Anolis sagrei: one gene and its partner. Each later gene encodes a partner of the first gene's protein in a complex. Links are inferred from orthologs where the notes say so. Each region holds a gene or a part of one and is shown on either strand. Other genes may lie near its edges.

Region 1 (7,369 bases):
CCAGCAGTAATCAGCCGATCCCTCTGCAATGCCAGAAATACAGCTTAATGGTGTAACATTAGAAAATGTTGACCATTTCCGCTACCTTGGCAGCCACAAAAGTCAACGTTGACAATGAAATACAACATCGCCTGAGCTCTGCGAGTGCAGAATTTTTCCGAATGAAGCAGAGAGTGTTTGAAGACCGGGACATCCGTAGGGATAGAATCGTAGAATCATAGAGTTGGAAGAGACCTCATGGGCCATCCAGTCCAACCCTCTGCCAAGAAGCAGGAATATTGCATTCCAAGCACCCCTGACAGATGGTCATCCAGCCTCTGTTTAAAAGCTTCCAAAGAAGGAGCCTCCACCACACTCCGGGGCAGAGAGTTCCACTGCTGCACAGCTTCCACAGTCAGGAAGTTCTTCCTCATGTTCAGATGGAATCTCCTTTCTTGTAGTTAGAATACAAGGTGCTTGTTTATAAAGCTATTGTCCTCCCAACACTATTCTATGCCTACAAAAGGTGGACTATCTACAGATGTCACATGCAACTCCTGGAACGATTCCATCGGCGTTGCCTCCAAAAGAAATCCTGCAAATCTCTTGGGAAGACAAGCAGACAAATGTCAGCGTGCTGGAAAAAGCAAAGATCACCAGCATTGAAGTGATGGTCCTCCGCCATCAACTCAGCTGGACCAGCCACATTGTCTGACCACCGTTTTCCAAAGCAGTTGCTCTACTCCGAACTCAAGAATGGAAAATGGAATGTTGGTGGGCAGGAAAAGAGATTTAACGATGGGCTCAAAGCCAACCTTAAAAACTCTGGCATATATACGGAGAACTGGGAAGCCCTGGCCCTTGAGCGCTCCAGTTGGAGGTCAGTTGTGAGCAGCAGTGCTGTAGAATTTGAAGAGGCACGAATGGAGAGCAAAAGAAACGTGCCAAGAGGAAGGCGCATCAAGCCAATCCCAACTGGGACCGCCTTCCACTTGGAAACCAATACCCTCACTGCAGGAGAAGATGCAGATCAAGAATAGAGCTCCACAGCCACCTATGGACCCATCGCCAGGACACCGAACTTGGAAGACAATTTTACTTGGATGAGGGATCGCCTAAGTAAGTAAGTATCAACACACTAATCTCAGTACCAACAACTGAAAAAAACTATTTATATATACAAATGAGAAAGCACTCACAATTCTAAGACATAGTCCATTTTAAAAATATTTATATGGAGGGGAAAGTGTGTCCATCTCTACTGTCATATAATGCAGTCTGAAAGTGCATTATATGGGCAGTGTTGTAGACTTATAATTCCATATAATGCAGCCAACGGGCATTATATGACAGTGGCGATGGGGCTCTAGAACTGTAGAAACACAACAATTTGCTGTGTTTACTGGTTCATTTCGAGCATTTGTACCCCATCCTTAAGTGTTATCAAACTTGATTAATCTTCCAGCACCAACTGCTGCTCTAGGCCAGAGTGAAGAGAGAAGGTGCCAGAGGACAGTTCCATCTTATCTCTTACTTATGTGTCATCAGTATTTATTAATTTGTTGTTGCTGTTCATTCGTTCAGTCGTCTCCGACTCTTCGTGACCTCATGGACCAGCCCACGCCAGAGCTCCCTGTCGGCCGTCACCACCCCCAGCTCCTTCAAGGTCAGTCCAGTCACTTCAAGGATGCCATCCATCCATCTTGCCCATTTATTAATTTACAGTATTTATATTCAGCCCTTCTCACCCTGCAGAGGACTCGGGGCGGATTACAATGTACATATACATGGCAAACATTCAATCCCATAGACACAAAACATATATAGACAGACAGTAGAGGACCCCTCCCCCAGCACCAACTGCTGCTCTGGGCCAGAGTGAAAAGAGAGGGGGCCAGAGGACAGTTCTATCTTGTCTCCTGTGCTATGCTAATAATATAATGTAATGTAAAATAATATAGTGTACATACATATAATATTTATAATATGATAATGTAATGCAATAAGCTGTCAGCCCCAGCTTCTGCCAACCTAGCAGTTCAAAAACATGGAAATATGAGTAGATCAATAGGTACCGCTCAGGCAGGATGGTAACAGCGCTCCATACAGTCATGCCGGCCACATGACCTTGGAGGTGTCTACGGACAACGCCGGCTCTTTGGCTTAGAAATGGAGATGAGCAACACTCCCCAGAGTCAGACACAACTAGACTTAATGTCAGGGGAAAACCTTTACCTTTACTTTACTATGTCCATTGGGGCTTTCTTTTGAGCAAGTATATTTAGGGTGACGGCCTGAAATGTAAACTCCTGCTGTTAGGCCCAGCTTCTGTCAACCTAGCAGTTTGAAAACATGCAAATATGAGTAGATCAATAGGGAAGGCAATGGAGCTTCATGCAGTCGTGCTGGCCATGAGATCTTGGAGGTGTCTACAGACAACGCCGGCTCTTTGGCTTAGAAATGGAGATGCGCACCAACCCCCAGAGTCGGACACAACTGGACTTCATGTCAGGGGAAAATCTTTACCTTTAATGCAATATAATAATATGATAGTATAATTATATATGTATATTACATGTAATATTACTAATAAGATTACAGTATAATGGTATAGTACAATATAGTAGTATTTAATACTGATATTAGATGAAGGGTTAGAAGGCATGATCATCAAGTTTGCAGAGGACACCAAATTGGGAGGGATAGCCAATACTCCAGAGGACAGGAGCAGGATTCAAAACGATCTTGACAGATTAGAGATGGGCCAAAACTAACAAAATGAAGTTCAACAGTGACAAATGCAAGATACTCCACTTTGGCAGGAAAAATGAAATGCAAAGATACAGAATGGGGGACGCCTGGCTCGAGAGCAGTATGAGTGAAAAAGATCTAGGAGTCCTCGTGGACAACAAGTTAAACATGAGCCAACAATGTGATGTGGCGGCAAAAAAAGCCAATGGGATTTTGGCCTGCATCAATAGGAGCATAGTGTCTAGATCTAAGGAAGTCATGCTACCCCTCTGTTCTGTTTTGGTTAGACCACATCTGGAATATTGTGTCCAATTCTGGGCACCACAATTCAAGAGAGATATTGACAAGCTGGAAGGTGTCCAGAGGAGAGCGACTAAAATGATAAAAGGTCTGGAGAACAAGCCCTATGAGGAGCGGCTTAAGGAGCTGGGCATGTTTAGCCTGAAGAAGAGAAGGCTGAGAGGGGATATGATAGCCATGTATAAATATGTGAGAGGAAGCCACAGGGAGGAGGGAGCAAGCTTGTTTTTTGCTTCCTTGGAGACTAGGACGCGGAGCAATGGCTTCAAACTACAAGAGAGGAGATTCCATCTGAACATGAGGAAGAACTTCCTGGCTGTGAGAGCCGTTCAGCAGTGGAACTCTCTGCCCCGGAGTGTGGTGGAGGCTCCTTCTTTGGAAGCTTTTAAACAGGGGCTGGATGGCCATCTGTCAGGGGTGATTTGAATGCAATAGTCCTGTTTCTTGGCAGAATGGGGTTGGACTGAATGGCCCATGAGGTCTCTTCCAACTCTTTGATTCTATGATTGTACTATGTTAATAATATATTGGGGGTGAGAAGGGCGGCATAAAAATGCAAATAAATAAACAAATAAATAAATAATAGTGTAGAAGCACCCTCTGCAAAGATGGAAGTCCTTTTTTTTAGATCAAGGCAAAGCAAATTATTATTATTATTATTATTATTATTATTATTATTATATTGCACAGTAATTGATGCTTCTTCCTGGCTGCTACTCTTACCAGGCCAAGATCCCAAAAGCGCCCCTTGGAGACAATCCGCAGACAATTACTCCTTTTGGTAGAATGGAGAAAGCCAGGAGCACGTGGAGTCACTTGGTATCACGTGACAAGGGTTTCTGGGCTGTCCCGATGACGTCAGGGGGCGGGGTTAGCCGCCCAAGCCAATCGGAAAAGAGTCCAGAAGCGAAGGGGTTAAACACAACGCGGAAGAGAATGTGAGAAGCCCCGCCTTATCATGTGGAGAGGGACCAGTGGGCGGGGCTTGGCGCGCGATGACGTCACTATATTCTGTCCAGTCTGGGTTTTCTTTTTGCCCTAAGAGTAACAAGCTTTTATTGAAACTATACAACTAAGGTTCTCAATTGAACAATGAGGGGAAAAAAAGGAATACTGCAAATTAGAGAATCCAGAGATAGAAAGGGAAAATCCTCTATGTATGACATGCCCCTTTTCCTCATTAAAGTATTTCTTAATTGGGTTGCTGTGAGAATATTTCTTTATTCCTCTTCAGCCACTCATTCCCCGCATATGGCGGCTGTCGAATGCTAACCGGAAGTATTCATTGCAAGGTGTTGTTTCATTTTCCTATCTCTAGAAACATTTTCCTAAGAGGGAGAGGGAAGGAGTGAAGCAAATTTAACCCTTTCTCATCTGTCCTCCTCTGGGGCTTTCCACTTTCAAAGCAACTCTTCCTTTGGTTCAAAGTATATTATTTTCTTATTATAGATCCTAATATTCTCCAGTTGCCAAAACTGAGGTTTTGTTTACCTTTTTGAAGCAGAAAAATTGGAAAAAGCAAAAACAAAGGACAGGAAGGAGGATAAAATCTGCTGGAGGTAAGGAATAGAAAACAGGGGTGCACTGTAGGTTCTGGGTTGTTGCAAGTTTTTCAGGCTGTATGGCCATGTTCCAGAAGCATTCTCTCCTGAAGTTTTGCCTGCATCTATGGCAGGCATCCTCAGAAGTTGTGAGGTCTGTTGGAAACTATGCAAGTAAGTAAAATCACTCTCAACAAGGGATTCCCCCGGGCACTTCCAAGCCATTGAATGCTAATCGAGGTGATCAGATGAAACATTCACACCTAGCCCCAGCAGACAAAAGTCCTTTGTCTCACCTGGTCATTCCACAGATATATAAATCCATTTTTCCTACTTCCAACAGACCTCATTACCTCTGAGGATGCTTGCCATAGATGCAGGCGAAACGTCAGGAGAAAAATTGCCTCCAGAACATGGTCATATAGCTCGGAAAAACCTACAACAACCCTATGCAAGTAGGGTTTATATATCTGTGAAAGTCCAGGGTGGGAGAAAAAACTCTTGTCTGCTGGAGATAGGTGTGAATGTAACAATGGACCACCTTGATTAGCATTGAATGACCTAGCAGTTTCAAGATCTGGCTTCTTATTGCCTGGGGGAAATCCTTTGTTGAGAGGTGATTAGCTGGCCCTGATTGTTTCTTGTCCGGAGTTCCCCTGTTTTTGAGTGTTGTTCTTTATTTACTTTCTTTAACGTCAGGAGAGAATGCTCCTGGAACATAGCCATACAGCCCGGAAAACTCACAACAACCCCGTGATTCCGGACATGAAAGCCTTTGACAATACAGGGTTAGTCAAAATGAATAGGCCAATAAGAAAATTAATTGTACCTGAATGTATGTTTACTGTAACCAAACCACAGCTACGTAGCGACAGATAAACTATCAAAGTTTTTTTTGAGCAACACACATGTACGTTAATGCCGCTAGGCGTCGCTAGGAGTTGCTGTTTTCAAAATGGCGGAATCAGGCAAAGAGAAGGCTGCATTCGATGCCATTACGTCGGATGTGCTGCAACGGATGTGGAATGAACTGGACTATCGCTTGGACGTCTGCCGTGTCACACGGGGCGCCCATATCGAACATCTCTGAAGGTGAGACAAAACTTTGATAATTTATCTGTCGATACGTAGCTGTAGTTTGGTTACAATAAACATACATTAGTCTAAAATTAATTTTCTTATTGGCCTATTCATTTTGACTAACCCTGTATATTAAACAAAACTTGTTTTATAAAGAGTAACGTCAGAAGAGAATGCTTCTGGAACATGGCCATACAGCCCAAAAAACTTGCAACAACTCAGTGATTCCGGCCACGAAAGCCTTCAACAATACACCATAGGCTCTATTTCGGAGGAAAGAATGCGTCAAACCATTCCTTGCCTTGGGCACCATCTACACTGCCTGCTTAATTCAGTTCGAAGCTACATTCAAACTGCAATAGCCAGGCAACACACTCCCATGAAAGTATGCAAAAGAAAAGCCCCTTGATGTGCATCAATGCTGTGACGTTTGTGTAATCACCATCTGGACCTGCACAGACAAACCACTTTCTTCAATACCTGTTTGAAACCGAGTTAAATGGTTGGTGTAGATGGAACGTAAGAATCATAGATTTGGAAGAGACCTCAGGTATCCAGTCCAACCCCCTACCAAGAAGCAGGAAAATCGCATTTAAAGCACCCCCAACAGATGGCCATCCAGCCTCTGCGTAAAAGCCTCCCAAGAAGCCTCCACCATACTACGGTGCAGAGAGTTCCACTGCTGAATGGCTCTCAAAGTTAGGAAGTTCTTCCTAATGTTCAGGTGGGATCTCCTTTCCTCTAGTTTGAAAAACCCTATGAAATTACTGAGATCATGGGAAATTTAATATAGAACGAGTGATAGCTGCAGATTCCTTTTGTTCCATAGCTTAATAATAATATGTAATATTTCTGAATATTTATTCTACTTTCCCTTGACCCTTACTAGGCTAAATAGGCTAGCCTAAATAGGACCCAGTTTCCAAGATGGATAAGAACTCTTAATCCTTTCCCCATCACAGCACCAATTCCCTATGATGAAAAGTTAATATTGTATTGTTTCTCTGGCTTTCAAGGACACAATATGCCTGTGATTATTGGTTTCGAGGGCAGTGCCAATAAGATTGGCGTTGGGATTGTACGGGATGGAGAGGTGCTCAGCAACCCCCGAAGGACATACGTCACTCCTCCAGGGCAGGGTAAGTATCCTGTGTATGATGCTATGCCAGGTATACAAAGATGCATCACATTGTTGTATGACTTCAAGTCATTTCCAACTTATGGCAATCCTAAGGTGAACCTGTCACAGGGTTTTCTGGGGCAGAGAGTAAGTTATTTGCCCAAGGTCATTGAATTACTGTTCTTGGCTGAATCCTGGTCTCCAGAGTCATAATCCAACACTTAGAGCACTATACTATTATTCTGGACACCAAAATTGAAGGGAGATGGTGACAAGCTGGAATGTGTCTAGAGAAGGGTGACTAAAATGATCAAGGGTCTGGAGAACAAGCCCTGTGAGGAGTGGCTTAAAGAGCTGAGCATGTTTAGCCTGCAGGAGAGAAGGTGGAGAGGAAACATGAGGGCCATGTATAAATATGTGAGAGGAGTAGGCCTGTTTTCTTCTGCCCTGGACACTAGGACAATGGCTACAAACTACAAGAAAGGAGATTCCATCTGAACATTAGGAAGAACTTCCTAACTGTGCAAGCTCTTCAGCAGTGGAACTCTCTGCCCCTGAGTGTGGTGGAGGTTCCTTCTTTGGAGGCTTCTAAAAAGAC
Region 2 (7,143 bases), on another chromosome or scaffold:
TAGAGAGAGAGGAAATTAAGCCAATCTTCATGTGTGTTTGTGTGTGTGTGTGTGTGTGTGTGTGGGATGGGGGGGGGGCGGGGGACTCCTGGGACAAGAACATTGGAGGAGCACTAGCATAAAATTATGTGGCTATTCTTCGAAAGCGCGACGGCAGACAAACTTTAATTGTTTGTCACAATTAAAGTTGGCACACAAACTTTAATTGTGCAAAGGCCCTCCTAGCCTCTGCAGATACCTGCTTCCAGGTTCAGCACTGAGTACAGTAGGGTCCTCAAACTGCGGACCTATTTCTTCAGGGGGAGTGTAACCCCATGCAGCACAGGTTGGATCCCTATTCCTGGTCTGCCTTCCAACTGACCAGGAGTACCTCTGTCTTGTCTAGATTAAGTTTCAATTTGTTTGTCCTCATCCAGTCCATTACTAATAACAGGCACTGGTTTAGGGTCAGGACAGCTTCCTTCCCTTTAGGTGGAAAGGAGTAGTAGAGTTGGGTGTCATAGGCATACAGCTGGTACCATACTCCAAAAGTCCTGATTACTTCTCCCATTAACTTCATGTATATGTTGAATAGCATGAGGAACAACCCTGAGCCTGAGAAACCCCAAAGGTCAACGGCCAGGAGTCCACCAGCACCACTTTCTGGGTATGGCCCTCCAGGAAGGACGGAGCCACTGTAAAACAGTGCCTCCAATTCCCATACTAGCAAGACGAACCAGAAGGATACTATGGTCAATGGTATCAAAAGCCAATGAGATCTCCAGTAGGGATTTCCCCCCCCCCCAAAAGGTGCCAAATCTATCTGAACAAATTGCACAGGAACCAAAAAGAATGTGTTGAGGATGGGCTTTCTTTTGCTATAAAATGCAATTTTCCAAGCCGGTACTGAAGTGTTTTGGTACATTTTGATAATTTTGATATTGGCTGCTGATACGTGACACCTGTATGAGGGAAAGGAAGGGAGGAAGAAGTGAGAGAGAAGGGGTCAAAATTGGGGGAAAGGTACCTGTGAATTCATAATTTTGTTATTATCCCTCAATTTTAGTAACATCTTTATTATTTTAATGTGAATGTTTTAGTATTTAAACATTTAACACCATTTTAATTACCTTATTTAATATTGGGTTTTAAACTCTGTTTTAACATTGTTTCCTGATATCCGGATGTGTGTGTAACCTGATGCTTGTATACTTCTGTACTTGTGCTTGTACATGTGTGCGTACTCTGACACTTACACACCCTGTCACTTGTACTTTTTTTATGCTGGTCATTGACCGTAATAAATGTTTATATATTTTTTTAAAAATGTGAATGTTGATTTTATTTTTTGTGAGACTTGGGTCGTTTTGGTTATTTACTTCTTTGTCCAGCACCTTGCAGCATTTAATGTTTGCCTGTGATGGTTGCGGGACCGCGAGCAGGGCCTCCCCATTAGATCATCACCTCCGCTATGGTTCATTGGGGGAGATGCGTTCGGACAGGTGCTATGCTGTCGCACGCTGGGCCTGTGCATAAGACAGTAGACAGGACATAAATTCTGTGTGCCCAATAGGACGCCGGGGCTGCCTCAGATTAAAGGCCTTTGGATTTCCTTAAACAGAGTCTCTAGAGTACTTAAAGGTTCAACAAAGTTCTTTATTTATGAAAACAAACAGGTATTTCAAGGCTTTCTTAACAGTCTATAGCAGGGGTCCTCAAACTAAGGCCCGGGGGCTGGATGCGGCCCTCCAAGGTCATTTACCCGGCCCTCACTCAGGGTCAATCTAAGTCTGAAACTACTTGAAAGCACATAACAATCCTATCTCATCAGCCAAAAGCAGGCCCACATTTCCCATTGAAATACTAATAAGTTTATATTTGTTAACATTGTTCCTCATTTTAATTATTGTATTGATTTTAAGTGTTTTTTGCACTGCACATATCTTACTATACATATCTGCACATATCTTACTAAAATAAGATATGTGCAGCGTGCATAGGAATTCATTCATGTTTTTTTTTTCCAAATTGTAATCCAGCCCTCCAACAGTTTGAGGGACTGTGACCTGGCCCTCTGTTTAAAAAGTTTGTGGACCCCTAGTCTATAGGCTCTTTCAATCTTGTCCACAGGGAACAGGCACTATCTTCATGACTGGTATTTTAACTAATGGGGAAATCCTTAACTTCTAATCTGGGCAATCTGTCTTTACCTCTGTTGGCATGGAGCCCCTACACCTGGTACCAACTGCGTCTGGCTTCTGTGAGTGACCCTTACCAAGCAGAGCTTTGTAGACTTCCAGGGAAAAAAGAGTTCAGGTTTCGGTGATGGCTGGCTGAAGTCCCCCAGCAAAGGAGCTGTAAGGCTGTATGATCCTCGGCCAAGCTGTGGGCTGTATAACCCCAGCCAAGCTGTAGAAGACGAAGCTTTCTACAGGAGCTCTTGGTATTATTATTATTATTAAAGGTAAAGGTAGTCCCCTGACATTAAGTCCAGTCATGTCTGACTCTGGGGTGTGGTGCTCATCTCCATTTCTAAGCCGAAGAGTCAGCGTTGTCCGTAGACACCTCCAAGGTCATGTGGCCGGCATGACTGCATGGAGCGCCGTTACCTTCCCGCCGGAGCGGTACCTATTGATCTACTCACATTTGCATGTTTTCGAACTGCTAGGTTGGCAGAAGCTAGGGCTGACAGCGGAAGCTCACGCCGCTCCCCGGAATCGAACCTGTGACCTTTCGATCAACAAGCTCAGCAGCTCAGTGCTTTAACCCACTGCGCCACGGGGGGCTCCATTATTATTATTATTATTAAACTTTATTTGTACTCTGCTAGCATCTCCCGAAGGACTCGATGCGGCTTACAAAGGCCAAGGCCTCAAACAACAACAGACAATAACAATATAAGACAAGCAAATTAAAAACATAAGCAATAAGAACAACAACATTACACTATGGTATTATGTCCAGCATATGTCCTGAACTCAAACTGGCTCCTATTCCCTCCAAAACCTAAAAAGGGGGCGGGACCAGGGAACCTAACTATAATTGACAGGTGGCTTGCCCTATGATTGCAAACTGTAATAGGAATGCTGCAAAATCCTAAGCCTGGGATTGCAAACAAACATTGAATGCAAAGCAAACAACATTGGAGCTCCTGGTACAGCTGTACCTGCACAGGTGCTGTTATCAAGTTGGTTTGTGGTGGAAAGAGGCTTCAGGGTCCGAGTGCAGCAGTGGAGGTGGAGCAACATGGGGGGTGGAAAAGGAGACAAAAAGGGGGGAATGGTACTGAGGAGACAGAAGGAAAGAAAAGAAAGAGAAAGGAAGATGAGGGGGAAAGGTGTGGGAGGGAAAGCAGGGAAGAAAAGGAGGGGGAAATAGAGGAAAGCACCGCAGACCACACTAACATGGGCGGTTTCCCCCTGCCTGCCCCTGAGAGGCCTCCTCCTCACCTGGGAGTAGCTGCACCTCTCGTGGTCGCTGCCTCCCAGCACGGCGCGCGCCTCCTGCTCGAGCTGCTCGCTCTCGGCCAGCACCTCGGCCAGCGACACCACGGGCTCCTCGCCGCTCCGCTCTTCTCCCTCCTCGGCAGCGGCGGCGCTCTCCTTGGGCCTGTCGTCCCCTTCCTCGCCTTTGCCGGAGTTCGAAGCCGCAGCTGCCGGCGCCTCCTTCTCCATCTTGCTGACAGAAACAATACTAAGACAAGCAGGAAGAGAAGGGGGGAAAAAAAGGCGGGAAAACGCCCCAACCACCGGAAGCGGAAACGAAAGTTGCCGCGACGCTCACGGATCTCAAGAGGGGAGAGACCAAAAAAAAGGAAAAGGGATGTGTCACGTGTCACGCGGGAGCCAATCAAAGCTAGAGGACGGAGGAAAGCTGAGCACTTGGGTGCGGAATCACGTGAGCCGCGAAGGGCCAATCAGGGCCGGGCAGATCTGCGAGAGCCAATCAGAGCCTCTAAAGACGGCGAAATGTTAACTATGCAGACTGTGATGTTGAGATCATAAGAGGGAAAGAAAAGGGAGCAGAATCACGTGAGACCACTGAGCCAATCGGAATCAATCAGAGCTAGAAGGAGGCGAGGCTGGAGAAAACAACGCACAACAGCTAGGGAAGAGACTGGGCGGGGCTCTGACGTCACGCTGGTGGGTGTGGCCAAAGGAGGACGACTTGGGTTTCCTCTCTCCGAGAAAGTTCTGCTTCCGGTTCAAAGCGGTGAGGAGATTGGTTGCCTAGCCACGTCGGGAAGGGCGAGATGGAGCTGCGGGCGGAGCTGACAGGCCGCGGAGGGGAGAAGCGACCGCTGCGGGTCTCTTGCGAGCCTCCGGGGGAGCTGCGGGGCCTCCTCGGGGGCTTGGCACGCCTTCGGGAGCAAGTCAGCGCCCTCCTCGGCCCACTGGTCGAGCAGGAGAGCCGCGCCGGCGGAGAGCCGGGCGCGGGTGCAGGTGAGGGCCCCGCAGGCCTTGGCAGAGGGCCCGCCTATGTGCAGGGAGCATCTACACCAGGCATGGTCAAACCTCGGCCCTCCAGGGGTTTTGGACTCCAACTCCCACAATTCCTATCAGCCTCGGGCCCCTTCCTTTTCCCCCTCAGCCGCTTAAGCGGCTTGACCATATATGCCATCTTTCTTCTTATCTTCTATCTGTTGTTGTTCATTCGTTCAGTCGTCTCCGACTCTTCGTGACCACATGGACCAGTGCACGCCAGAGCTCCCTGTCGGCCGTCACCACCCCCAGCTCCTTCAAAGTCAGTCCAGTCACTTCAAGGATGCCATCCATCCATCTTGCCCTTGGTCGGCCCCTCTTCCTTTTGCCTTCCACTTTCCCCAGCATAATTGTCTTCTCTAGGCTTTGCTGTCTCCTCATGATGTGGCCAAAGTACTTCAACTTTGTCTCTAGTATCTTTCCCTCCAGTGAGCAGTCGGCCTTTATTTCCTGGAGGATGCACTGGTTGGATCTTCTCGCAGTCCAAGGCACTCTCAGCACTTTCCTCCAACACCACAGCTCAAAAGCATCGATCTTCCTTCGCTCAGCCTTCCCTAAGGTCCAGCTCTCACATCCGTAGGTTACTACAGGGAATACCATGGCTTTGACTAGGCGGATCTTTGTTGCCAGTGTGATGTCTCTACTCTTTACTATTTTATCGAGACTGGACATTGCTCTCCTCCCAAGAAGTAAGCGTCTTCTGATTTCCTGGCCACAGTCTGCATCTGCAGTAATCTTTGCAACTAGAAATACAAAGTCTGTCACGGCCTCCACAATTTCTTCCTCTATTTTCCAGTTGTCAATCATTCTTGTTGCCATAATCTTGGTTTTTTTGATGTTTAGCTGCAACCCAGCTTTTGCGCTTTCTTCTTTCACCTTGATTAGAAGGCTCCTCAGCTCCTCCTCGCTTTTGGCCATCAGAGTGGTGTCATCTGCATATCTGAGGTTGTTAATGTTTCTTCCAGCAATTTTCACCCCAGCTTTGCATTCATCAAGCCCCGCACATCGCATGATGTGTTCTGCATACAAGTTAAAAAGGTTGGGTGAGAGTATGCATCCTTGCCGTACGCCTTTCCCAATCTTGAACCAGTCTGTTGTTCCGTGGTCAGTTCTTACTGTTGCTACTTGGTCCTTGTACAGATTCCTCAGGAGAGAGACAAGGTGACTTGGTATGCCCATCCCACCAAGAACTTGCCACAATTTATTATGATCCACACAGTCAAAGGCTTTAGAATAGTCAATGAAGCAGAAGTAGATGTTTTATAGATCTATCTATCTATATAAATAAAAATGTAATGTTCGTTTGTGGGATCAACATAACTCAAAAAACACTGGAGGAATTGACACCAAATTGGGACACAAGACACCTAACAGTCTAACGAGTATCCATCTCTCATAAATCCCCCCCCCCCAAAACAGTGGAAAGGACTTTAAAACCCCAAAAATGCTAAATGATGAAAAACTAAATGACAATACAGAAAAAGGGAAGGAAGGGGAGAAAGAAAATAAGAAAGAAAGAGGGAGGGAAAGAAAGAAGGAAGGAGAAGGAAAAGAAAAGGTGGGGAGAAAGAAAGGAGAGAAGGAAAGAAAATAAGGGAAGGAAGGAGGGAAAGGGAAAGAAAGAGGGAGAGAAGGAAAGACAGAAGGAAGAAAAGAGGTAGAGAAGGAAGAAAGGAGAAGAAAAAAGGGAAAGAAAAGGGGAGGGGAAGGAAGGAAAGAGGGAGAGAAGGAAGGAGAGAAAGAAAGAAAAAAGGGAAGGAAGGAAAGAGCGAGGGAAGGAGAGAAAGAAAGAAGAGAAAGTGGCGGGTACAGCTAGTATATAAATAAAAATGTAATGTTTGTTTGTGGGATTAACATAACTCAAAAACCACTGGACAAATTGCCCAAGGAGTGACCATCACTCAAAAAAATTAATTTTGTCATTTGGGAGTTGTAGTTGCTGGGATTTATAGTTCACTTACAATCAAAGAGCATTCCGAACTCCACCAACAATGGAATTGAACTTGGCACACAGAACTCCTATGACTGACAGAAAATACTGGAAGGGTTTGATGGGCATTGACCTTGAGTTTGGAAGTTGCAGTTCACTTACATCCAGAGAGCGCTGTGGACTCAAACAATGGTGGATCTGGACCAAACTTGGCACAAGCACTCAATATGCCCAATTATGAACACAGATGGAGTTTGGGGGGAATAGACCTTGGCATTTGGGAGTTGTAGTTACTGGGATGTATAGTTCAGTTACAATCAAAGAGCATTCTGAACCCCAGCAACTAGAGAATTGGGCCAAACTTCCCAGACAGAACCCCCATGGCCATTGAGTCCAACTCCCTTCACCAGGGCAAGAAAACGTAATCAAAGCCCTCCTGACAAAGAGCCATCCAGCCATAGATATAGATAGATATATATGAGTAACACACACAAGTATAGTATCATAGATTTGAAAGGGACCTCTAAAGAAGAACAATTATATGTTGCGTGTTCCAGAGTAGGCAAACCAGACAATCTCCATATGAACACTGACAAAGAAACAAAAAATACTGTTTACCCACAAGCATAAAGAAATTACATATATTAGAAACCAACACCTTCTCATTACTTTATTTTCCAGATCACGAGACTGGGCCACAGCAACGCGTGGCAGGGGTTAGCTAGTCTATATAAATAAAAATGTAATGTTTGT

Evidence for each region. The genes of interacting proteins can lie anywhere in the genome.
Region 2: OSGEP (region 1) and GON7 share a complex: the UniProt entries of both Homo sapiens proteins name them as parts of the EKC/KEOPS complex. The link is inferred for Anolis sagrei from reciprocal best matches to the Homo sapiens genes OSGEP and GON7.

Annotation. Positions count from the first base shown.
Region 1 is NC_090026.1:13,544,079-13,551,447, reverse strand, and holds the start of OSGEP (tRNA N6-adenosine threonylcarbamoyltransferase), read left to right. Parts: upstream 1-4,360; 5' UTR 4,361-4,589; intron 4,590-6,667; 5' UTR 6,668-6,675; coding exon 6,676-6,790; intron 6,791-7,369. UniProt on the Homo sapiens protein: Component of the EKC/KEOPS complex that is required for the formation of a threonylcarbamoyl group on adenosine at position 37 (t(6)A37) in tRNAs that read codons beginning with adenine.
Region 2 is NC_090021.1:316,706,501-316,713,643, reverse strand, and holds the start of GON7 (EKC/KEOPS complex subunit GON7), read left to right. Parts: upstream 1-4,136; 5' UTR 4,137-4,231; coding exon 4,232-4,421; intron 4,422-7,143. Other genes in the region: putative E3 ubiquitin-protein ligase UBR7, read right to left, coding at 3,429-3,653. UniProt on the Homo sapiens protein: Component of the EKC/KEOPS complex that is required for the formation of a threonylcarbamoyl group on adenosine at position 37 (t(6)A37) in tRNAs that read codons beginning with adenine.